Linked DNA regions of Tribolium castaneum. The protein of the gene in region 1 interacts with the protein of each later gene in a pairwise test. Links are inferred from orthologs where the notes say so. Each region holds a gene or a part of one and is shown in the gene's direction. Other genes may lie near its edges.

Region 1 (4,256 bases):
GTCCAGCATGCTCTGCTGGGACAGGTGGCGCAGCATGTCGTCCCAAATGATGAGCCGCAGGTGCGGGTGCCTCTCGTGGATTATTCTCGACACGTTCTGGACGTGTTTCAGGAAGAGAGTTTCTTGGAGTTCCAAGCGGCAGATTTCGCATTCGCCCATTTGGAACACTTCGTCACAGCCGATGTGTAAGTACTTGATTTTTGGGTGGAGGGACACCACTTGCTCCACCATTTCGCGGATGAAGTCGAGCGAGCTGTTCCTGCTGGGGCACAGGGCCTGGGGGCTCCCCGGGACTTCGCGGAGTTTCGCCAACTCAATGTGCTTCAGAGCGAACTCCATGTGGCCGAAAGTTTGGATCAGGGGGATGACTTCCAGTTGGGATTTCTCGGCCAAGTCCAGGATTTCGGCGATTTGGGCGGGAGTGTAGGCGTTTTTGGCCGAAATGTTTTTCAAGATGCCGGAATAAGGGAACATGTCTTCATATTCTAAAACAATTGACTTAGGGGCAAGTTTCGTTAGTGGGGCTACAACCTAGCAAGAGGCCCGTGGCCCCCATGTTGCGTATCAGGGGGAAAAACTTCTTCAAAAAACTGACTAGAGGTGGGGCCCCTTTCAAATCCAAGTGGACTATACGTTTTGGCGGAATGTATGGATTATTCGAGTTCAGGTTGACGTAGGGTATTCCTAGTTGCTGTTCTGTTTCTAACGCCTCAATGGACGGACGTCTCCGTGCAATATCGTCGCGACTTGGTTGTTCTAAGTCTGTAAAAGAACCTAAATTTGGCTCAACCGTCTCAACTTTAGCTGCACTGGGTCTTTGGTTACTTTCCACGAATTTAACATTACTTTGTATTAAGGACTCAGCGACTATCATGTGCGGGCCCCCGTTATCTTCCTTTAGGAGCGCTTTGTCACTCACTCGGGAAAATTGCAAGCCAAAAATTATTATCGAAAGCAATCCTATGGCTATCAACAGTGCCGATTTTTTCCGCCAAGCTGTTAGGCCCAAATGTTGCACATAACTATTCATTTTTTTCACATTTCCATTCAAACTCTCCAAATAACACCAGCTTGTCCCATCAGAAGTCGGAGGAAAGATTTATGCTAGCATTCTTCATGGGAAATGGAAAAGTGTTTTTCCTACATTGTAATATCTATGGGTTAATTACGGCTTATCACATGGTCGACTGGGGCTATTCGCGGAAACACATTGTTTATTTTTCCGAAAGATTTTAATTATTTATTTCCACAAAAACTATTGACAGTTCGACGAAATTTTTTGACATTTGGCGTACCACCCCAAAGAAAAAAAGCAGCGGATCATTTAAATTTCTTCTAAATAAACACAAACACACAAACGCTGTGACTTTACCACAAAATCGGCCGGTTTTAAAGATATTGTTGCAAACTGAATGCCACAATTATTAAAATTTGGACAATTCTTGGCAAAATAAAATTTGACATTTGTTTTGACAGTCGACTTGACTTTCCCGTATGTTTTTCGTGTGATGTGTCTAAAAAATGTTAAAATAAACAATGCGTTTAAAACTGGTGGACAGCAGCTAACAGCCGATTAAAACCGTCTTAAATCACCCCCTTTAGCTAAAAATGGCCACCCAGGAAAAACTGCTAAAATCGCTGGAAGTCCTCAAGACCCTCTCGGCACCTAACCAAACATTTGACTCCTCAAAGTAAGCCAATTGGCCAATTAACGCCACTTAACCATCCAAATTGTAGAAAAAAGGACAAGATCCAGCACTGTCACATCGTCACGGAGGCAATTTCCAATTCAACGATCAAAATCGCCCCCAGTTTCCCCACCTACCTCAGCATAACGATCGAGGTGCTTTTGCAGTTATGCGACGACCAGGAGTCCGACGTGCGGATGACAGCGGGGGACTGTCTCAATAAAGTGATCAGAGTAATGAGCTGCGAGTTTGTGGCGTGTTTTTGAGTTGAGCGGTTCCAGGCCATGAACGATGGGAACATTGGTAAAGTACAAATTGAACTACATAAAGGGATCAAGCAAAACGGTTCAGCTCGATCACTACGGGCCGCCTTGAAGCGGTTTTCGCAGCTGGCACACTTGATACGGCCCCATAAGGGCAAGCCGTACGTGGTTAACCTTTTCCCCACCTTGATTAAGGTCTCGCAGCGGCCTGAGGAGCAGATTCATGAGACTTTGGCCAATAGTTTGGCGCCGATAATGCGGGTTTTGGGGAGCTTTACGTCAGAGGTTGAGATAAAAGTAAAGCAGGGGCGCGTTGTGGCTTAGAATTATTAGTTTCGCGTTGTAGGATTTATTGAAAGGTTTCTTGAAAAACATCTCACACTCTTCGCCTGTTATCAGGCGGTCTGCGACCACTTGTGTGTTAAATGTGTGTCTGAACTGTAGAAAACCGTCTATTTTTATGGCATACGTAATTAATTATTTGTTAGGTGAGTCGTTCCGTTTCAGGTGTTCATTTGATTGTTGTTTGTGGATTTGTAGATTTGTTAATTCCAGTCAGTGATAATCAAAGTAGTTTTCTAATATTGGGAGTTTTGGCGTGTTTGAAGAATTTATTACAACACTTGAACGATAATCAAAACGGAGATAATGCTTCCTTATCCGTGGATAAATTGTTACAAGTAACTGTTTTTTTGTTGTTTGGCGCCTTGTAGCTAATTTTTACAGATTTACGAGTTGTGTCTCCACTATTTTTCTAATAAGGATCACAACGTTGTGAATGCAGCTTTAGAAACTTTGAATGTTTTACTCCAGAATTGTTCCCTTGAATTGAGGCAAATTTTATTGAGCGAAAGTGGCGTAGATAAAAGTAGGATTAGTTTACCAACTTCTTATTCAATGTCAGCACTGCGTTCCCCAAGTCAGTTAAGTGTTGCGACAAGTGCAGCAAATGACGATTTGTTTCTGGAGTCCGAACTTACCGACACTATAAGGTCGGATATAGAAAAATGGATAGATGAGTCGAAACTTTCAGTAATGAACGTACCTTGTGCCAAAACTAACGAACTAGAAAAGTCGTTGTCAAGTGAGAGTAAAAACTCCTCACTTGATGTGTCTTTGACACAGCTTGATAGTTTCGATTATAAGATTTCTGAATACGTAGGGAAAAGTCACAGTGTTGGTGATAATCTGGAACGACTCACGATAAGTGACGATTCCTCTGAAAAAAGCTACTCGTATATTGAGGATGACAAGAACTGTGAAACACATTTTCCAGTAAAACTCTTTTCCAACATCAAACAAGTTGATAATTTTTTATTGTAGGACGTTGCTATTGGTAGTTTTCTAGACACCGATATTTCGCTAGTTTATTGTGCGAGACTGATCACCAAATCGTTTCTTTTGTCAGGCCAGAAGGGCGTTTGTATTCCTGATAAATCAGTCCGAGTTTCCGTAAAATCCCTAGCTTTGACCTGTCTTGCCTCAATTGTGCGAATCTACCCAAAAATATTGCTCCTCTGTTTGGGTAAAAAATGCAAATCGAAAAATCACCTACCAATCGCCGACTTGATATTGTACGAAAACCACACCGACCCGCAACTGCGGGGCGTTTTTAGGACACTTTTATCCAATTTTATCACAGCTGTGTTGAGCGAAACTCACTCGAGTTACGACAAATGGATCGAGTCGAATTGTTGCGATGGGAATTTTGCCCGACTTCAGCTGGATTCTCTCGTGAAATTTATAATAAAAGTATAGCAATTTATGTAATTGTTCTTTGCTAAATTTTGGTTTAAGGGCCTTGAGGACGAATCGTCCGGTTGTGCGCGACAAACAATCATAAGTTTGGATGTTTGTTTGGAAAAAATCGCAGAATCGGTTAACAACATTCACGTTTTACCGATTTTGAATTGTCTGCCACTTTTAGCAACCAATCCGTACTGGCTTGTGAAAGTCGCTTTGTGTGAACTTGTTTCGAAGCTTCCCTACGTCACTATTTGCAATATCACTGGTTCTAGTGATTTCCAAAATCGGATAATTGACGATGTTTTGTTCAATTTTTTGCGAAATGATGACGCTCGGGTTAGGAGTGGCGCCGCTAGTGCCATTGTTTCGTAAGTATTTAGTACGGATGTCTAAAGGCTAGGATATGAAACGACGTACAAATAAAACGTCCCCGTTCTTTCTTTCGCCAGAGAGCCCAGTTGTTCCATTACCGTCTAAGTTTTCGGAGCAATGAATTTGAATAAATGGTTGTATTTGTATAACAATTAACACATAACAAACAAACAAAAACAGACAAATA
Region 2 (4,153 bases), on another chromosome or scaffold:
TGTTTTAGAAATTTATTTGTTCAGTATAAACACTTTTCATGGTGTTACCTTCGAATTTTGTACTGATTTTTTTGTCAAATGTTCACCGTTCATAGCTTTAGGAATGGGCACTACGTACCATTAGTATTTGATTTGTTACTAAATAAAACTAAAAAATAATATGCAACTTTGTTAAAAGATGTTCATATATAATTTATCTCTTAATTCTAGAAAAATTGTTATTGATTTTGAGTTAGGTATTCATAAAGCTTGTGAAATAACATGTCCAAATGCAAAAATTATGGATTGTAGCTCAAAGCTGTTTAAAAAAAATCCAGACATTACACTTAGTTAAAGAATACAGAGACAAATTCTGTAATAAGTAACGGCGAGTTTTTACATACATACACAATTACACATACAAATTTAAAGTTAAAAATGAAATGTTGGAGCACTTGGAGCTATCATTAACTACAAAAAAAAATTGTGTACTAGCTGTTAGCTGTTCACTGACTCTTGAACCCTCAAGCCGCCACGGTGTAAGAGGTGTAACAAAATTAATAATAATTACAAAATATAATAATTAATAACTGTGTTAATGAGTATTTCAAATGATAGAAGGGTTTAGCCAATTTATTGATTAGGCATGACCTTGCCGGCTCAGCTGGATAACAAAAAAGGCCAACGATTCGCCAACACTGCCAAAAATCTTGGCAAATTGGACCTAACACGAAGCGTAATTTAAGAATTTTTATAATCTAAAAATAATTTCCCGCCAAAGGTTCCCTGCATGTGACATTGATGCGTGAGACATTCTTCCAATAATAAATGATACGCAATTTTTAAAATTAGGACAGGTGGAATCGATAAGGGTGATGGTTTTTTGGGCCCTTTCTGATAAGCAAACGCGTTTTCAAAACGCGAAAAAATGAGAAATTCTCGACCGGCGTAACGGAATGACAGCGATTTCAAAACCTTACCTCTGTCTCGTTATTTATCTTCTTCAAGCATTCTTCAACGTGTTTATCGACATCGGCTTTCCTTGTGGGAAACATTTTGAAAAGCGTCCACTCAAACGTACATTTAAACGAGCAATTTCACAAATTTTAGAAAACGTTTATAAAACCGTTACAACATGAGATTTCACAACGCACGAACGGACGTCCACCATCTTACAACTGACGTCAGTAATCAAAGCTAGGGATTTTGCTTTTTTGGAGGGACCGGTATCCAAATAAAAAAATTAAAAATGCAAATTACGGGCTGTTGTAGCTGTTCTTACAGCTTATCAACTCAGTTACATGACTGTAGTAATTGAAACAAAAATAAATAATCCCACAATGAGCAGTTTTTTGCGTTTAAATGTTGCGATAATGCGGCGTCACCAGTCATACCACCATAGGTTGGTGGCTGCAAAACCCCCACGGCGTCTTTGACGTGTCGGCCATAATTTTGTATCAACTTCCTCAAGAGAAATCCGAATTTTCGCCGGAAAATCGCCAAAAGTATTATTTTTAGAACAGAAAGTGAGTCTTCTATCGAACCCACCTAGACCAGTAACCCACCACCCGCAGTTAGCACCCCCTCATTTTGACTACTTACACCCTCATGGTGCTCAGTGCTAGTGCTCACTTTTCCCGACTTAATTGCAGGAAATGGCTGATAGTGACGATGAATACGACCGCAAACGCCGCGATAAGTTCAGAGGTGAACGCGCCGAAGCCACTTACAGGGGGGCCGAACGGGTTGCCAGACCTAGGGACGACTGGGCCGAACGGTAAGAGTCAATACGAGGCTTATTCGGTCCTAGTGTTGAAATTATAGTGACTCTTGGTCACGACCTAGGCCTCGGGAGTACCGCCCGGGGGTGAGAGACAGGGGATACTCGCCGAGTCTGGACCCAGCCCCCAAGAGGCTGCGCCACGATTACTATGCTGATAGCTACTACAACCATTACTCGCCCTATCACCAAAGCTCGCACAGGTAGTTGCTGGTTTTTGCTAAAATGCATGGAAAAAATGGTGCACCAGCGTTCAAGGTTTATTAAAAAAATTATGATGCTCGTAATTAAAAACTGCTTTAGCTGTTTACATAATATCAGTTAAGAAATCTAGAATAGGGAATTGCTAATGACTTTTGCCCCATTGTGTGTTTTATTTTATCGCCTTGCATGGTTTGCATTTTTATAGAAAATACCGTTCATTGTTTCCTCAAACTGTATCTGAATGTTTATCGTAATTAGTCGCATGTTTTAATTGTTATTTTAGATTTCGTTTTGTTTCGGTTTTAATTTAAAATAACAGTTACTAACGCGTGATCTTCTATTTTCAAAGAGCTGGTAATTTCTTCAGAGAACCTCCGCCATCGTCTCAGTCTGAGGGTCAGCAGCCGCCAATGATGTCCTTTAAGGCGTTTCTGGCCACCCAGGACGATAACATTTCCGATAGTGAAGCTATCGAAAAATACAATGACTACAAATTGGAGTTCCAGCGACAGCAACTTAACGAATTTTTTGTTGCCCATAAAGACGACGAATGGTGTGTATTACTAGCTTATTACCGAATTGCAAAAAAGTAAATTGAGGGAAAATATTGCCAGGGCTTCAAATCGAAGGTGTATGTAGCACTTTGTTTTTCTCTTTGTTGTGTCAAGTAACAATGGGCTGTTACGTCCACCTTCACTAGAGATTTTCTTTCAGACGTAATTGATAGGTTTAATTGTAAATGCTAAGGTTAATATAATTTTAAACTATTTTTCCCCAACATGTTACTTTAAAAAGCCTTTTTCTCTACAGCACTGATTCGAGACTTCCTGACATCTTCGTAAAATATAATTATGTGTTTTGTGTGTGAAAACATGTGAATACACTACGTTAAAAGTATTATTGAATTGAATATAGATATGAGATGTGGAATTTCTTTAAACCGTTGATAAAGCTATGCGCGCAATGCATATGCTTTCGCGTACTTTGTTAGGGTTTATATTAACAGGTGAGATTTCACGACGAAGAAACATTATCAATTTATTATATGTACATGTATGTTACGTGTGAGTGTTTAAATCAGACGAAGATAATAATTAACGTTACCAGCATTAACACTTTTATTATGTTCGTCTCGGAATGCATGCGATTACATTGCTCTCATTTCATTACATCTTCATTTCTTGTTTTTCGCTGTTATAATTGTCAACAATTTTTCACCCACCACTTGACAATTATAGCACATTTTACCGATAATTACTTTATTCATAACGCATTGAATGAATTGATCGCGTGAATGGTTTTTTAATTTGTCTGTCTTCGTTTTTGTGTTGTTTTCTTATTTTCCCTCTTGTCTTTCTGAAGGTTCCGTTTGAAGTACCATCCTGAAGATTCAGTAAAACGAAAAGAAGAACAAATGGCAGCATTGAAGGTAGAATTGGCATTTTTGCATCTCATTTTCGCTTACTTTAATTTTTCTTCAGAAAAGAGTCGAGGTTTTCTTGGACTTGATGAACAACGGAAAACTTGCGGTTTCAGTTGATTGTTCAAAAACGAATGACTTACTTAAACTGTTAGATACTGTCGTTATTAAACTCGAAGGTGGCACTGAGGAAGACTTGGCCGTTTTGGAGCAGGAGTATGCCGGTAAGTCAAAAAAATTCATTTTAATAGTTCGATATAATTTTTTAAATCATATTTTATTACTACCTGACACAAATAGTAAACTTTTCCAGTAACAATTAAGTTCTCAAACCAATTTCAAACAATTTTATCTGAAAAACATTTTAATTATTACTTAAACCCTCATAAATTATATCTACAAAAAGTTTCAAGATCTGAACGAAATCAAACAAAATATACACGAGAAAATGTGAGAAATATTATTTTACTGTATGAGCTTTAACAACTGAATGTTCGGGCAAACATTGTTTTTGTTGCTGACTTTTACAGGTTTCATATCACTATTTTATTTTTCAACTTGATTTTAGAACGAAATCTTAAACTGTCTGAATTGACTTTTTGAAGTTTGAAATCATAATATACATTAATATTTACTGAACCATTTTTTAATTTTATTCACAGTGACATATCTATCCCATTGTTGGAATAAACCTCTTATGATAATAAACTATTTTGTAATTTTTTTGGTATTTTTCTGCGTTTACTGTACTCTGAAGAAATTAATAATTA
Region 3 (4,028 bases), on another chromosome or scaffold:
ATTCTCTGAGCGCTGTCTTCTCGTGGGTCTTACCCCACTGCACAGCAGCAACCCTGTCAAGCGAATAGCCTTCCGCCAAATTTTTAAATAAAGAGGGTGGGAATCTTCGTCTACTGCAAGCAGATAGTACCATGCCAAACCTGCTGGCCGTTAAACGATGTTTCCTTGCTACATGCCAATTTTCGTTAACATGTTGGCCCCGAGTGCACGCCTCAACCAGTTTAATGCGTGCCTCATCTATTCTGCACTTCTCCAAAAGAAACTTTTGTTTGTCTATGGCCTGCACGTATTCTAAGCTTTGTAGAATTTCTTCGATATCTGCAATAATTTTTCTGGCTTCTTCACTTGCTTCTGGTCTTAGGAGCCAAGTGAAGCCCACCACATTCGTGACGCCTATTTCGGCACGGAACTGAATAATTTCGTCCTCAGTAGAGGACCTAGACAGTGCCGTATAGTTTGATAATTTCGGCTTGTAAACATCAGCTAACTTAATGACTTCTGTTTGTGGTGTTGTTTTTGATGGGGCACTCCACTGACACTCAATGTCAGTAGCACTTACATTATAATGAGCATAATATAATGCTGCAGCCATATGATGGCAAGCCACGTTGCCCCTTGGGCAGGTACAATGTGCCGTCTTAACCCCTTCTTCTAGGTCATATGAAATCTAAAACACACTTTGTAGAAGAAATGTCTAACAGTTAAATAAATACAAACCTCCACAGTATAATTTAGCTTTTTCATGCTCGGTAGAACTTCTGCAGAAATTCTCATCGGTTGTACTGTGCCATCAAACCTAAATTTGGTGACGTGACCGCTGGTAAAAGCATTTTCTCCCCGAACTAAAAAGCGATTACCGTCCCCAAAAAATTTCGCAATAAAGTGAAACTTAACAATGTGCTTTTCTGCCACTAAAATGCATAAATATAATAGTTTCTCAAAGTATAATTAAAGCTTACTCACTTTCTCACCGACAACGTGGTTCCCTGTATTCTTTTATAAAGTTCGTATTTTCACAAAAAGTCACTTCTAAATTAAATTAAAGTCTCTAGTGGCACAAATTACACCCGCTGCAGCTATTTGACACGTTATTAACGCACAAACACAACCAAAAAACCGAAAAACGTATTACACCACATGTAAAAGACTGGTTGTTTAGCTTTGAGCAACTGACCTACCGTAATAAGAGTGGGGAGGTGACGTCACGACTGATAGCGCGTAATATTGTACTCAAATATTGCTAAAATGTGTAAATGATCATTCTAATTAACGGAGAGCTATTCGTCTCGTCACGAATTATCGATTTCCGCCAGTCCGAAACCTTAAGAGTTCCTATATTGAAACCTAACCTCCATTTGCATTAATGTTTGTGTCATTCTCCTGTCAAACTTAATGATCAAAAATTTAAAAAGATCTATTAAAAATGTACCAAAACGCTTGCGGGGCAGCTGCTGCGAGTGCCGGCGGTTGTGTTGGCACCGAACGTGATTGCCACAGTTTAATATCCAAAGAACCACCAGTCCCAGCAATCGAGCACGACTACAGCGGTTTCGACATCGTCAAAGCCACTCAAGTAAGTAGCCCCTTTGTATAAAACCTCACTTAACGGCCGAATAACTCCTAGTATGGTGCCTTTGGCCGCGTCAAAGAACTAGTCGAAGCCGGCTATAACGTCAACCAGCGAGACAGCGAAACAGTGACTTTGCTCCACTGGGCGGCTATCAACAACCGCAAAGACATTATTCGTTATTTTATCGAGAAGGGAGCTGAAGTGGACGCTGTGGGGGGCGAGTTAAATGCAACCCCCCTTCACTGGGCCACCCGCCAAGGCCACCTCGATGCCGTGGTGATTTTAATGAACGCTGGCACAGATCCGACGCTCAGAGACGCTGAGGGTTGTTCTTGCATACATTTAGCAGCGCAGTTTGGACACACGGCCCTTGTGGCGTATTTTATCGCAAGGGGGATTAGTCCCGATTTGGTGGATAGGGCCGGCATGACGCCTTTGATGTGGTCGTGTTGGAAAGTTTGTAGTTTGGATCCGACTAGATTGTTGTTGACGTTAGGGGCATCCCCGAATTTGACAGATCAGCAAGGGAATACAGCACTACATTGGGCGATTTTGGCTAGGAATACGTCGGCTATTTCAACGTTGATTGTTCAGGTGAGATGGGTTTGAGTATGCATTTGGGTTATGTTGAAAGGTTGCTTTAGGGACAAGCAAGTCTAAATGTACCTAATCATAGGGGAGATACACCACTGTCGATGTTACAAACACAGTTAGGGGCTATTTGGATAGGTTCCAAAGTTGCGGAACGGATTAAAGAAGCGATAAGTAGTGGGCATACAAGAAATATTTTTACGAAAATTACTAAAGATAAGGTAAGTAGTTTTTATTTATTTTCATCAAGTTGGTGTTTGCTCTCCTAGCTTTAAAATGTCCTTGTATGGTACGAATTCCTAAAGCACAGCCTTTTTGATGGATCCTTTTTACCGTCCTGGCGTCAAACATTTTTCGTTTTTTTTATTCGTTCAAATGTTTAGAAGTCACCCGGTATAATTCTCCACGTTTTGGAAATAAAACAGTAAATAAGCAAACATTAATAACAAAAAACAACGTAAATAAAATATTATTTAACGTAATATTGGGGCTTCCCAAAGACCATTGACCGCAAAAATGAAATAAATACAAACTGATCCAGAAATATTGAGTCTGTGGGCAACAGATTTGTGCTCGTAATTTGCAAAATTGGAACCAAATTCGATTTTTCTTGACAATTATTTGACGTACAACCCCACAAGAATGTTAAATTGTTGTTAACTGGAAGCGTACTTCATTGGTATCCTTAAAAATTTAAGTTCAGTGTTGCCAACAGACTCAGTATTTCTGGATCAGTCCATTCTTTCATGAACATTCTTTAAATTGTCTTATACAGGGTGATTTTTTAGGGCTTACATTAGAAACTTTTTAAGTTCTAATGTACCTATAGGTTTAAAAATTCTGAGTTTAAATAAATTATTTTCAAAATGGCAGAGCTTCCGAAATTACTAGAAATTGGCGCTATTTTAAAAATTTTGAAAAGTAACCACACATTTTTAGTGCATTTTTGAATTCATCTTCCTGAACTGCGTAAAATTTACTCAAGTTGTTGGTACTTATCTGTCACAGTTTTTGACATAATTATGTAAATTTTTATGTTGAAATTATCATTTCAATAGTTTATTTAAAATATCACAACCCTTTGGGATAAGTGGATAATTTTTTTTTATTGAATATTATTTTCAGAATTATCAACTATCAAAATTCAAGACTAGTACCGGGTGACTTTTAAAGATTGTATTTTTTTGTCGTCAGGCTGGTAACAAATTTGAAATCTTAATTTGGCATTTTTAACTATCAAATTTAAATGTCAACATTTCAAACTCAATTGTCATAGACTTCCGCCCGACGATCGCCGGCATGGCAGTCAGGTGAAACGGCTCCATATAACTAGCTAGCAGGGAGGCCAGTTATTCAGTGTTGCCAATAGATTATTTTGTTTCAATCTTCAAAAGTTTTCCGGTAGAATTTTATCACAATCGTTATCAAAAAACGGCTCTAACTCAGTTTTTTCAAATGAAACGACTTTACTTTCTTAACGGCATCGAAAGAACATCGATATTTGTAATGATATCAATACGTCCTATACCTAGCCGGTCAGTGTTTAATAAGAACTGTGTATTCATGACTAAAATTTTCATTGTTGTTTTAAATTGTTCAAATTGTCCGTTTCTGTCACAACGAAAGTAGTTCGATACTCTTGTTTTTGTACCCATAGGCGGGTACAAATTTCTATATGTTATTTGTTCCAAATTTTAAGTAAATTTGCGAAACTTTTATTGAAAAATTACAAATAGAAAAAATGCTTTATTTGTTAAGCTCTGTTACCTGTTAAAATTAACATACGTATTTCTGATACACCCAGTATTCTTCTCCAAATTTTAAGTGTCGTAATTTTTATTGAAAAATTACAAATAAAAATAATATA
Region 4 (4,043 bases), on another chromosome or scaffold:
CAATTTTGCGTTTATGTAACTACAAAACTTGGTTTTAAAATGGCAGCAAGGATGTAACATGTATACGAAAATTGAATTGCACTTATTAACAAATAATTTACACTTGTAAATGACTAGAAAAGGCAGTCACATGTTACTTAGTTTCTACATTTTACTTAAACTGAAGTTAGACTTCTTTCTTCTTGGAAGACGGTGGAAATTGCAGCTTCTTGTCCCAGAGGAGATGCATTATACTACTTTTTAAGTTTTAAAAACAAAAATACTATATTTTAATAACTACTAAGCAATAAAAAACTACTACGTGTTTAACTAATCTTCTTGGAGACTTCTTTCTTCTTGGTATGACTTCTCAACAATATTACACATGCATTAAAAAATTTAAAAAAATGACTATGAAATTGTTACTTATTAAAAAGAATATTGAAAAACAAAAGAAAAACAGTTGAAAGTTTCACAAAATCTTCAGTTTGTGTTCCTTTCTTCAGTGCAAAAGACTGTGGATTTAATTAGGTTAAATACCTTCTGACTGAATTAACCAGTCTGTGGGAAGAATCTGCTTGATATGAATCATACTGACCGCCCAGAAGACTTGCCAACATCGCTGTTACTAGTTAATCTAAAAAAAAGTTGTTTATAATCAAAATTTAAGATTTTAAGTATGTAACACCTTCAGAAGATACTGACGAGAAGCACTGTTGTTACGAGTAATTGGTGCAACATTAGCAGTCATATTACGAGAAATACGATTAAATTACTGCGATAACCCAGAATTACTGAGTCTTGGAAGTAGAGAAATGTTTTCACAACATGCTCGCACTATTTGAGGCCAAACTCCATTTCCATTGTGAAGCAAAAGGGTTTTTCTGAATACGTCCCGAACGAAATTCCAAAATTAACAACAAAATTGCAAAAAGGATACAAAAACCTGATGTTTACTTTAAACAAATTGTATTATTTTACACCATTATTGTAATTTTTTTCTTTTGATATCGGTGATGATCAGGGATTTCAACGCTGCCAACATGGCGCCCAACATCTCTAAAAATTGCCTAAAGTTTGTGTTTTTGAATAGGGCAGAAAATATTTTTTAACAACACGGTTACGTAAAGAAAGTGCTGGGTGTTCATTGTCGTGCATTTATTTGCAATAGTTGTGAGAAACGTGCGAAAGAATTTGAAAAAATATACAAAGCGCTAGTGTGTAAGCGTTTGCAATGTTGGTAGACGGGACGTTTTCTTACGTCAACCAATGAGACAACGGAAGAAATTAGGAGCATTTACCTTCAGCTGCAAATTGTTCCCTTATGTGACATGGCGTCTGGTAGGAAAGTCAGTTCTTGATCGGTTTCAAACGTTTTTATTGTTTTTATGACCTTTTCATCCAAATCGGCTTGCTGTGAAAGCCACAAACATTTTATAGAGACTTGCATTGATGGTAATGCATGCAAGGAAACCTCAACGGATGAGCGATGGGTAGGCACCAGTGTCTTATTGACACAACCTCAGAGGCATTAAAGGAACTTTGGGGTTCCCAGGTTGCTTTAATGCCTTCAAGGACCTGTTTCACTACTAATGCGTTCTGTTTCCATGTCTAGGTACTTCGAGAAGCACCAAGCCCATCCCTATCAGGTAAACATAAACCTTCCAATTTAACGAAACTGAACCGATTTTTGTTTGTTTATAATAATACGAAATCAATGTCAAAACAATTTATTAATACTTTGCCTTATCACAAGCAAAATTAAACCGTTCCTAACAATGACCATAGTTGGCTATGCCCAATTAGTTTCAAGACAAAATTGTTGAAATGGCTTTTTTTGGGTTAGTTCGGGCATCATTTTGGAGATTTTGATGGCTTTTACGCAAGTTTTGGGGCCAGTAAAGCGGCTAGAAAGAAAATTCGGCGGAAAAATGTTCGTCAAAACAATAGTAAACATGGCTACCTTCTGCAGATACAACCTAACCTACTTGCCGCAGTTTATTTATATTTGCGTTTTTCGCTTGAATTGTGTAGTTGCGAGCTTACAAAGCGGGAAAATCGTCTAAAATTGTGTTTTCTTTCCAACTCTTGCCAGAACTCGAAGTATAGTTCATCGAAGAGTTATGGATCCACTAGTGAAAGGTACGAGAGAATTCGGGATTCTCCAAATGGTAATTATCGGTCGGACAGCCCAGATTCTCAATCTCCCAGAGACCGTGATCGATCTTATCAATCAAAGAGCTCCTACCTACAGAAAATACGTGAAAAGGAGAGAGAAAATAGAGACTATAAAATGTCAAGAGACAAGTATTCAGGTACCCTTTTGTTACTGACAGAATTGTTAAATTGTTTATTTCTGTTGGTCATTTTAGATTGTGCCCGATCGCCAAAGGATAAGCGCAGCAGAGAATCTGAGCACAGGACCAACAATGACAGAAACGACGAGAAGAGCATTTTACATCCAATAAAAATGTCCCAGAACCTGTCTTCGAGGGACAGGAAACCAGTACACAATAATTCTGTGGATAAGGTAAGCAGGGGACGAAGCCACAGCTATTTGCACACGTTGTGATTAAATGACCACAAAAAAATCAATCAGTTCAACACAACTAATAATTTAAGTAGTAGCTGAGAAATGGACTTTAAGTAAGTCATAAAATTGTCATGTATTTAAATTCTTAGTCCACTCGCACAAAAAATACATTTGTTAAAGTTCAACTAGACAAAGACCTGTAAAACTGTTTATTTTCTTGTTCAAATACCTACATAAACGTTAAGGTTTGGCCTATTTAGTGTTTGTTCTTGTCTTTGATCAAATAACTTGTTTTTTTCCTTATTTTTTCTATTATAGCTTCGTCGACCTTTATCTTTCTTTTTTTTAGAAGAGTATGTTTGAATTTATACTGAAAGTATTTTTAAAAATAACTGCCCCCCTTTTTTCGAAACTCGAAACTTTATTAAACATAAAAAATATTTTGTGGTCATGGAAATTTAGAAATTTAGCTTTAAAGGACTGTACACACTATCTTTATGTCAATTAAAATGAATTCGATTTTATTATTATCCTTAAAAATAATTTCCATTGTAAATGTAATTCATTAAACCATTTTTTTTTATTAATGTACCACTCCTAGCCAATGCCGTACAAATACTTCAAAGAGATACATTTTTCATTGTATATTCCACTACGTGTAATAACTTAAAAACTGTGCTGAAACTCCGAATTATTTTTTTTAATATTAGTATTTTTAAATCTTACATTTTGATGATTTTTTTTATAAAATTGTAAGATATGATTTGTTTGCATAACTAAATGGATTATCTGCATACTGAAATGTATTAGACACCCAAAAATTCAGTCTTTGAAGTTGAATGAATATCTTCAAATCTGGACTGTCCATATAATTATTTTTTTTTTATTTATTAGCGGTTTCAAAACTATAAAAACGCCTTCGCATTTTTTTTCAAAATTTTGAAACCGCTAATAGGTGATAATTGAGGCTTTTGTTACCATTGTTACCTACCTGTCAATGTGGCAGTTGAAAATAAAGTTTTTTTGGGACTTGTAACAGACATAATACCAGTAGTTGGTGGTTCTGTTTTGCACATAATTTTTTTATGGGGATGTGTTTTCTTTCAGAGGGATGATCGGGAAAGGGTTGCTAGAGTAGGTGATTGGTCGGAGCATGTAAGTTCGTCGGGTAAAAAATATTATTACAATTGCAAAACCGAAGTATCGCAATGGGAGAAACCAAGGGAATGGATGGAACGAGACCGATTTAGGAGTCGAGAACGGGACAGAGAACGAGACTCGGATCGTTGTTACAGCCGCTCCGGCACGCGTAAGTAGTTAGCACCGGAGTTTAGTTTGCATCAAAATTAATATCGCACAAATTGTAAACAGGGCATGAGAAACATTCCAACTCGCGAGCACCGAACAGCAGTAGCAGTACGAAGGAAGGAACGAGAGATAGCGCGACGGGAAGTCGGCACTGGAGCAGTAGTAGCAGCCGAGACGACAGCGACGTTCCCGTCAAAGATGGCAGATCGAGAAAGCATCCAGA
Region 5 (3,500 bases), about 11 Mb from region 1:
TAGCTCATTTAAAAGAAAGAGGAAGCCTAGATCTTTCCTTTGGTGTTTTCAAATTTCTAAAAAATAATAAACCCCCAAATGTTTCAAATTAAGTTTTCAGAACTTCAAACACCCATAACTCGATTTTTTCAAATGAAATGCCACAAGTTTTATTTCATTAAATGGTAGAGAATTTAATTCTGCATTTATCTATTAATATTCTCTATACTTATGTTTAATAGTTTTTAAGTTACAATAACTTTTTGTTGGAATTGGGAAATTCATTAGCCATACTGTGTAATGGAAACGACAGAAAAACTTAGAAATTAAGTTTTTCAAACCAACATTCAATGAATTTATTTTGTTTGCAGAGGAATGATAGCACAATTTTGAACTGAATTTGTTGTTGGTTTAATCAGAAATGTTTCTTAGGCGAACTATGCAAAAATAGCTATGGTTAGTATGGAATTTCCTAACAATGTCAAAAAACCAAAATAACTTGAAAATTATCAAGGATAGGTTTAAGGAATGCTAATACAGATAGATGCAGAAAACAATTCTTCTCTATCTAGTAAAATAAAAATTAGGACATCTTATTTGAAAAAAATAATTTATGGGTACTTGAAGTTGTCCAAACTTAACCTTAAAATTTTTGGTTTTATTAACTTTTTTCCAATTTTGAACACACTAGAGAACATATATGGGCTTTCTCTTTTAATTCTCCAAATATGATTTCGAAGTTTTTAAAATTAAAAAAGTTACCGATTTTTCAAGTGATAGGTGCAAATCCAAAAATTTAAAAAAAATCCAAAATATCTCAAAAACGGTTAAACTTAGGTATAGTGAAAGCTGATAACAACATAGTTTTCTATTAAAGATAAGAAAGTTGATAGCGACTTCCGCTAAAACCGGAAGTGTCGCCATGTTAAAAATATTCTCATTTAACAGAACTTAACGGATTATGGCTGAGTACCAACTTTCAGATACATATCTATTAGAAATATCTATTACTATATCTATTACTTCTGATGTGGGGTTTAGACGGAACAGCCTGTATGTAACTTTATTTCTAGTGAAGAACGTGCAGAATATTCGAAAAATTTAAAAAAATAACGTAATCTTGTACCTAATTTATTATTTGCACATTACATTGCCACTGATATCACTACATGACGATTGCAATAACAGAAGCTTTTATGTACGGGTAATTATATGTGTTTTTTAAGAAAATAATTTCAAAATGTGTTAATTCTTTCATTTGTCAAGATACTATATTTTTGAACAAATTTTCTGGTGAAATTTCGTCTGAATTTTGACTCTTAATATTGCCAACTTACTTTCAAAATAATAGTTTTTTTTTTCAGAAAATTGTTGTCACAACTGGAGCAGTTCAAAGCCAGTGCTCGTGAAAAAACCGAATCTCAAGCCGAAAGTGACGGTTCCGGTATTGTTTACCAGTTAAACTATCGACCGGAACAAGCGCGTCTAGCTCAAACGACTCGAGTGGCTGAACTTGAGGGACGTTTGCATCGTTTGGAGTCAATTATGGGATCTTCTAACGATAAATTGACTCGATTGGCATCCGCAACTAATAAAGGAACTTTATTGGAGACAGCACAGCATTTAAGCGCCACAGCTAGTTTACTTGATTCGGCACAATTGGATCATATTGAGGGACGCTTGTCTTGTTTGCAGCAAAAATTGGATGCTATAGCTGAGAAAAAGAAGGAAATTGCACAAGATGAAGAAAAAGATAAAATGGTGAGTACATGTTTATTTTTGTGTTTGAACTGGAGTTACTTGCGCTCTCAGTGAATATTTTTTTTTTTTGGGACAAATATCAAAAAATAACAAAGTCATAATTTGGCAAGCATCATTTTCCACTTGAACAATTTGTTTGCGAATAGAAAAAATAAAAATACTTTTTTAATACCGGGTGTTTTAGATTGGTATTGGCATTAAAGCGTTTTCTCTTTCAGCTTTTGCTTCAGTCTATTATTTTTATAATTGTTCACAACATTTTGTATTTTTTATCAAATTTTTTAACAATCCTTATCACTTACATACTTCTTTCTTGTTTTACTCTTGTGTTTTGTCATAATTTGTTCATTCTTGTTATTTAGTACCTGTTTTGTCCTCATCTTAATTTTTTCTTCAGTTTTTTTATTTCGCATAGCTTTTTAAGTTATTTCTGTATTTTTTTCGTTTTTTTTTCATTTCAGCATAAAATCGAGGAAGAAGTTAATTTTGAATTAAATTTTCGAAAAATTTCAGGTGTGGAAAAATTAGAAATAAAATTAAAAACTAAAAGAATGATCTTTTGGATTTTAATTTCATTTCACCTAAAGACTGTTTTCAGTAGATGCAGTAAGTAGTCCGATTTTAAACTTTTTACAACCTTTTCGAAATATTCAATAAAAAATTACACTTACCTGAATTTAGACTAAAAAAACCTAGAAAATTTGTTAGAATAAGACAAATACATTGAAAGATACATTTGTAATTTAGAAATAATTTAGATAATTTAGAAACATGAAATGTCTTTATTTCAAGTTTAAATATTTTATTTTAAAGTTTAAAATACTACCGAATGTTTCGAATTTGCAACAGTTACTTTAAAAACATTATTATATCACTGAAAAATATTTGCTTTGAGCAAAAATTATGTAAAACACTTGATGCACAAAGTGCTCAAGTATTTTCCAAACAAAAATAACTATTTCTGTAGCAAAAAAAAATGTATAAAAATAAGTTTATTCATTGTGTAGCTCACTTTTCGAAGTAATAAAATTTTAAATTTACCATTAATTTGAGTTTTGCTGTGCAAATGGCAACTAAAATTTAATCGACAACTAAGAATTAATACAAGTTGAATAGGTTGCCATTTCCTTGGAAAAGGTGAAATTAATCGCATATTAGAATTTGATTACAATTAAATGTCAGCTACACAACGGTTTAGTGACAATTTTTTTACATAGCAACAAAACAACATTATTTCAAAATGTCATTAGAAATATCACTTATAAAAATTTATTTTTTCAGAGACTCAATATTAATTACTTAATTCTCATTATAAGGAATTGTAGAATTTTTTTTTAAAAAAATTACATGCTTTTAAGAGCAAACGCTGGTTTACAGTGAAAATATACTTTTAATAGAATGATCCTGTACAACATATTAATACAAAATATTTTTTGTAATTCTGCTAAAAATGCTTATTTACTTTCTGGCACTGGATTTTTCGTAAATAATCATTTACTGACAAAATATTGCGAAAAAATAGGCTATAAATGTGCTTTTCCAACTCCATTTCAATATCTATAGTATTTTTTTTATCTCTTAATGCAAAGCTGAATTACGAAAAAAATGACCTTATTTAAAATATCATTTTTTTTTGTAACATTATTGAGCGAATTAGATGTACTTCTCTATAGTTTTTTATCTGTTTATTTACTCTTTTTTTATGTATCGAACTTATTTCTACTCTCTAATGCTTCTTCTCCAGATTTTGGCTATTTATA
Region 6 (2,456 bases), on another chromosome or scaffold:
TCGTTGCCCTTAGAATGTTAACGCAACGTCTCTTTAAAATTGAACTATTTTGCGTTTCTTGGTTTATGGGAGCAAAAACTATTGGTAAAACAATCCACAATCACGTAATAAGAAACCAATAATTTTAAATTTTAATCATTTATTAACATTATTACAAAAATTTATATATGTGAAAAAAAGATTCAATGATGCCCGAGTGTTTGTCTTAAAAAAATATTTTCCAGAAACTCCTCGAAGCTTTCCCCAACATAAAATCGGTGAAAATCCACCGAGCCGCCCTTTGGATTTTAGGCGAATACGCAACAACTGTGGCCGACATCCAGTCCGTACTTAAAGCCATCAACCAAACCCTAGGCGAGGGCCCCCTTCTGGAAGCGGAGCAACGTCTAGTGGCCGGAGATTCGGAAGAAGTCACCCAACCGAACCCAACACAAGCTTCCAGCACCCTCGTCACTTCTGACGGAACTTACGCCACCCAATCAGCCTTCAACACGGTTCAGTAAGTAGTCATTTGTCGAGAGAAAAGCCCGGTTTGTAAATCAAGCTTTAGGAAAAGCACAAAAGAGAAGCGGCCCCCACTTCGCCAGTATCTAATCGACGGCGATTTCTTTATCGGGGCTGCGATCGCCTCAACTTTGACCAAACTGGCTCTAAGGTACGGCAGTTCGGTTAAAAATGCGGTTGAAAGGAATCGGTTTGATGCCGAAGTTATGATGATCATGGCCGGGATTATTCACTTGGGGAAGTCGGGTTTGCCAACTAAGGCCATGACCAATGATGATAAGGACCACGTTTTATTCTGCTTGCGGGTGCTTTCGGACCGGCAGCCGAGCATTATCAAGGTTTTTACCGACTTGTGCCGACAGGCACTTAACGACATGTTAGTCGCCAAAGAAATTGAAGAAGCACTCAATCAGAAAGCGAAAGAAAAGGCTGGTAATGTCATACAAGCCGACGATCCGATCAATTTTATGCAATTACAAGCCGACAAGTCGGGCGAATTGGGTGAAAACGTCTTCGAAACGTCCTTGTCACAAGCCTTGGTTGGGGGCCGAGTCGGCGGCAGTGACACAAGCACTGGGGTTAACAAGCTGAACAAAGTGACTCAATTGACCGGCTTTTCAGACCCGGTGTATGCCGAAGCCTACGTCCATGTCAACCAGTATGATATTGTTTTGGACGTTTTGATAGTCAACCAGACCAACGATACGTTACAAAACTGCACCCTTGAGTTGGCAACTCTCGGCGATTTGAAACTCGTGGAAAAACCGCAGCCGGTGGTTCTGGCGCCCAAAGACTTCTGCAACATTAAGGCCAACGTGAAAGTGGCCTCGACCGAAAACGGGATTATTTTCGGGAACATAGTTTATGACGTCACGGGAGCAGCGTCCGACCGAAACGTGGTGGTCCTGGACGACATCCATATTGATATTATGGATTACATAGTCCCGGCCACTTGTAGCGACTCGGAGTTCAGGCAAATGTGGGCCGAGTTCGAGTGGGAGAATAAGGTTTCGGTTAATACGACCTTAACCGACCTTGCGGAATATTTGAAGCACTTGATCAAAAGCACCAACATGAAGTGTTTGACTCCGGAGAAGGCCCTGTCAGGGCAGTGCGGTTTCATGGCCGCCAATATGTACGCAAAATCAATCTTTGGAGAGGACGCTCTCGCTAATTTGAGTATTGAAAAACCGTTCAACAAACCTGATGCACCCGTTACTGGACATATCAGGATCAGGGCCAAGAGTCAGGTTGGTAGCACTGAGTGTGAATCACAGCTGAGTTTGTTGTTGCAGGGGATGGCTCTGAGTTTGGGTGACAAGATCAATATGACACAGAAGGGGCAACAGAGTAAAGTTATCGCTGCATAATTTGTATTTTATGGTCGTATTAATATTAATAAAGTTTATTTGAAAAAATGGCTTTGATTACGGAAAACTCGCTTTTTCTGAATCCAAAAAATAGAGTACTTATACCGTCTCAGCGCCAACTCTTTAAATTAATTTAAATTCAACCAATTCTGAGAAAAACTGTATTATTCTAAAATAAAGTCACTGTGAGAAAAACTAATGACTGAAATTTTCATAAGAAACGTGAGAAAAAAAAGAACATTTTCGCTTCGTGCCGTATTTTTCAAAACGCTACAAAATATTGGCAAAGTGCAAATTGGTAGAAGTTTTTTTTTTTAAATATAAATAACGATAAATTTTGCGTTATGTTTAATGCTTTATCATTTATAAAATTCATTGCTCAGAAAACAGACGATAATGAACGACTGCGCTCTCTGGCGGCACTAAGGAAACTATCAAGGACGGGACCGTTTTATTTGAACGTGGTTTCGTATCCTAACCTTTAGACCTCCGTAGTTTTGATGTAACGATATTTATTTGATTATAAATACAGTTTATTATTGGAAACGAAAATAAAATAAGATAAAAAGTACATCATGGACG
Region 7 (2,724 bases), about 5.9 Mb from region 1:
TACATTTTTAAAGTAGTTAATGATGTACTAATTAGTATTTTTTGTAAGGTACATAGTTTACGCACAAAACGCTTGATTTAATACTTTTGCTCAACGCTGCATGTAATATTGTATCAAATAGATTTTGATTACAATCTTTATAGTTTCGCCATAATCGGCTTTTTAAAATTGATATTTTTTTTAATATCACCTTAATCACTAAATATCACCTTGTTCCACTAAAATTTTTTGCAACTTTGCATTTTGCATAAATTGCAAATTTTAAAGTTAATGTCTTCCACCAATCTTTGCATTTGTTTTGGCATATTTTTGTAAAAAGAAGTATTTTTGCTAAGTATATTTTTTGCTAAGTGTGCAAAATACTGTTGTTGGTGGAACATAAAGGTGTTCGGGAACGTGCAAGCGCAAAGTGTAAAAGTCGTTTGTGGAATAGAGCCCACATCAGAATTTTCTGATAATGTAATAATAATAATATTACTCAAAAGTTGGCAACAATCGTATAATTCTATGTTAGCAGTTACGGTTTTAAATATTGAAAGAATTTTATCATATAATAGAAAATACACCTTGAACTTTATTTTAAAAAATTGGTTTATAATGTTTCACAGCAATTAATACTTGACCACATTCAAAATATCAAATGGTAGCGTAATTAATTGTCTAGACTAAGAGCGCCGGTTTACAAAACATTTTAATTGCAATTAAATTTTAATCGCGGTTAACTCGACATTTGTCAATGTATTTAATGCTACTTAATTTGAATTAGTTTAATTTTGAATTAAATTCAATTTGATTTTTTGTAATTTAAATTAATTTAATTTATTTGTACTCGACTAGAATATTAATTTTTGCTTCGACCATAAAACTTGGAACACTCTGTATAATTAGTTGCGTAGGCTGCCATTTGAATATTGTGTTGCCTACCCAAAATAATAATTTGTTAAAAATTTAAATTTTTTGAGTTATCCACTTTTTCTTTGGTATTTATAACTTATAACTAACTCATAACGTAGTGGTAGTTTGAACAGCCACAGACTGAAAAATTGCAAACGAAAGATTCTGTGAATTAGATTTTAAAAATTAATAAAAAAATTGAAATAAATAACTAATTGTCTTGATTACGGGATTTTTTTGATCTTTTCCCATCTTAAATTTTTAAACAGGTAACCCAGCTAACTTCGTTAGATGTAATAGCAGAGTCGAATAACCAAAAAATTAAAAAATCTATTAAGTATTCTATGAGTTTAATGAATTCAATTGTAATAATCTAATGATATATATAAACATCCTGAATGGCGCAAATTCGCAATTTATTAGAAAATGAACCTTTATTCTTATGAAGTTAGCAACATAACCTAACCTTGAAAATTTGACAGCTGTCAATGTGTACTGCAGTTTGTCAACACTGTTATTGTACTTGAGTTTTTATTAATTGATTGTGATCCTGCTAAAGAAAAATCATCAGAAATGACTATGCGACCAGACGACCACCGCCGAAAATGGGACAGGGACGAATACGAGAGGTTAGCCGAGGAGCGCAAGAGGGAAGAAATCGAGCGCCTCGAAGAAGAAACCAAGAAAAAGAAAGGCCCCCCGGTGAAACGTGAAATGCTAAAAACCCGAGAGTATAAAGTAGACCTGGATTCAAAGCTTGGCAAAAGCATTGTAATAAACAAAAACACACCAACATCACAATCGGGGGGCTACTACTGCAACGTCTGCGACTGTGTTGTTAAAGATTCAATCAACTTTTTGGATCACATCAATGGCAAAAAGCATCAACGAAACTTGGGAATGTCGATGCGGATCGAACGCAGCAGTCTGGACGCAGTTAAACGAAGGTTTGACCAAAACAAGCGGAAAATGGAGGAGAAGAAAAAAGATTACGATATGGCAGCTCGCATGCAGGAAATTGCCGAAGAAGAGGAAAAGCTACGCGAATACAGGAGGGAGAAAAGGAAAGAGAAGCGAAAAGCTGAGGAAATGTTGGAAGAAACATCTGAACAAGCAAGTGAGCTTGCTAGCATTATGGGATTTGCAGGTTTTGGATCGTCTAAAAAAAAGTAGCAAAATGTCTTTCAATACCTTTATTACAATAATTTAGATTTGTTGAAGTTTAAATAAAAATCAATATTATGCTAACTAGTAAGTGAAGTACAGTTGGAAGAATCATTGTGTCAGCCTGTAAAAAATAATTGTAAATGAAATAAATGTGAAGGAACAAGTTGCCTTATTTTCTTTTTTCATATATTCCTCAGGCATTGGGTCCTTGACTTTGGGCGTCTCCTTCACATTGTCACAGCTTATTGTGAGAATACTGTCAATTATCGACTGTAGAAGTTCTTTAGTTGTTGCTGCAGCGCTGTTTCCACACACTTTCGCAGTTTTGATGTAATAACAGTCAGCTATGTCTTTGTAAGCCCTGAAAACAATTAAATATTTGATCAAAGAAGCCCATGATGTTAAATAAGTTTCGTAACACTCAAAGGTAACATGTAAGTACTATTAAATTCAAATGTTAATTATATTTTATTAAGTTGCCGTTGCACCAAACTTGATTGCATATTTTCAACTTTTTAGCTCCAAAACTTGTTGAAGGCTTGAAAAAAGTAAAAACAATATTTTTGGCTAATTTGGCGATTTTTTCAAAGTTCGTAACGAACTTTTCGATGTAATCGCGTTAAAACGCAGTGGCGTGTGGTGTGAAAATATCTTTATTTTTTG

The links.
Region 2: the proteins of htt (region 1) and Ars2 interact in binary tests that used the Homo sapiens proteins (3 or more experiments, as listed by UniProt). The link is inferred for Tribolium castaneum from reciprocal best matches to the Homo sapiens genes HTT and SRRT.
Region 3: the proteins of htt (region 1) and Hip14 interact in binary tests that used the Homo sapiens proteins (3 or more experiments, as listed by UniProt). The link is inferred for Tribolium castaneum from reciprocal best matches to the Homo sapiens genes HTT and ZDHHC17.
Region 4: the proteins of htt (region 1) and wcy interact in binary tests that used the Homo sapiens proteins (3 or more experiments, as listed by UniProt). The link is inferred for Tribolium castaneum from reciprocal best matches to the Homo sapiens genes HTT and WAC.
Region 5: the proteins of htt (region 1) and DCTN2-p50 interact in binary tests that used the Homo sapiens proteins (3 or more experiments, as listed by UniProt). The link is inferred for Tribolium castaneum from reciprocal best matches to the Homo sapiens genes HTT and DCTN2.
Region 6: the proteins of htt (region 1) and betaCOP interact in binary tests that used the Homo sapiens proteins (3 or more experiments, as listed by UniProt). The link is inferred for Tribolium castaneum from reciprocal best matches to the Homo sapiens genes HTT and COPB1.
Region 7: the proteins of htt (region 1) and zinc finger matrin-type protein 2 interact in binary tests that used the Homo sapiens proteins (3 or more experiments, as listed by UniProt). The link is inferred for Tribolium castaneum from reciprocal best matches to the Homo sapiens genes HTT and ZMAT2.

What each region holds. Positions count from the first base shown.
Region 1 is NC_087395.1:14,785,363-14,789,618, forward strand, and holds the start of htt (huntingtin), read left to right. Parts: upstream 1-1,456; 5' UTR 1,457-1,608; coding exon 1,609-1,691; intron 1,692-1,737; coding exon 1,738-1,921; intron 1,922-1,969; coding exon 1,970-2,248; intron 2,249-2,297; coding exon 2,298-2,439; intron 2,440-2,491; coding exon 2,492-2,631; intron 2,632-2,677; coding exon 2,678-3,226; intron 3,227-3,274; coding exon 3,275-3,703; intron 3,704-3,748; coding exon 3,749-4,065; intron 4,066-4,256. Other genes in the region: hexosaminidase D, read right to left, coding at 1-485, 532-1,030.
Region 2 is NC_087394.1:28,909,018-28,913,170, reverse strand, and holds the start of Ars2 (serrate RNA effector molecule homolog), read left to right. Parts: upstream 1-1,353; 5' UTR 1,354-1,505; intron 1,506-1,631; 5' UTR 1,632-1,634; coding exon 1,635-1,756; intron 1,757-1,803; coding exon 1,804-1,962; intron 1,963-2,312; coding exon 2,313-2,516; intron 2,517-3,325; coding exon 3,326-3,392; intron 3,393-3,444; coding exon 3,445-3,607; intron 3,608-4,153. Other genes in the region: E3 SUMO-protein ligase RanBP2, read right to left, coding at 960-1,034. UniProt on the Homo sapiens protein: Acts as a mediator between the cap-binding complex (CBC) and the primary microRNAs (miRNAs) processing machinery during cell proliferation.
Region 3 is NC_087402.1:12,430,481-12,434,508, reverse strand, and holds the start of Hip14 (palmitoyltransferase Hip14), read left to right. Parts: upstream 1-1,228; 5' UTR 1,229-1,423; coding exon 1,424-1,573; intron 1,574-1,624; coding exon 1,625-2,164; intron 2,165-2,214; coding exon 2,215-2,382; intron 2,383-4,028. Other genes in the region: uncharacterized protein LOC135267174, read right to left, coding at 1-667, 718-911, 964-964. UniProt on the Homo sapiens protein: Palmitoyltransferase that catalyzes the addition of palmitate onto various protein substrates and is involved in a variety of cellular processes.
Region 4 is NC_087394.1:31,185,275-31,189,317, forward strand, and holds the start of wcy (WW domain-containing adapter protein with coiled-coil homolog), read left to right. Parts: upstream 1-1,243; 5' UTR 1,244-1,431; coding exon 1,432-1,472; intron 1,473-1,594; coding exon 1,595-1,628; intron 1,629-2,074; coding exon 2,075-2,294; intron 2,295-2,351; coding exon 2,352-2,509; intron 2,510-3,619; coding exon 3,620-3,821; intron 3,822-3,883; coding exon 3,884-4,043. Other genes in the region: uncharacterized protein LOC103312319, read right to left, coding at 1-19, 520-599.
Region 5 is NC_087395.1:3,607,076-3,610,575, reverse strand, and holds part of DCTN2-p50 (dynactin subunit 2), read left to right. Parts: intron 1-1,343; coding exon 1,344-1,740; intron 1,741-3,500. UniProt on the Homo sapiens protein: Part of the dynactin complex that activates the molecular motor dynein for ultra-processive transport along microtubules. In the dynactin soulder domain, binds the ACTR1A filament and acts as a molecular ruler to determine the length.
Region 6 is NC_087397.1:6,603,324-6,605,779, forward strand, and holds the end of betaCOP (coatomer subunit beta), read left to right. Parts: intron 1-224; coding exon 225-499; intron 500-550; coding exon 551-1,754; intron 1,755-1,799; coding exon 1,800-1,874; 3' UTR 1,875-1,956; downstream 1,957-2,456. UniProt on the Homo sapiens protein: The coatomer is a cytosolic protein complex that binds to dilysine motifs and reversibly associates with Golgi non-clathrin-coated vesicles, which further mediate biosynthetic protein transport from the ER, via the Golgi up to the trans Golgi network.
Region 7 is NC_087395.1:20,717,014-20,719,737, forward strand, and holds zinc finger matrin-type protein 2, read left to right. Parts: upstream 1-1,350; 5' UTR 1,351-1,467; coding exon 1,468-2,067; 3' UTR 2,068-2,116; coding exon of another isoform or gene 2,117-2,182; 3' UTR 2,183-2,224; downstream 2,225-2,724. Other genes in the region: uncharacterized protein LOC656218, read right to left, coding at 2,117-2,182, 2,230-2,422. UniProt on the Homo sapiens protein: Involved in pre-mRNA splicing as a component of the spliceosome.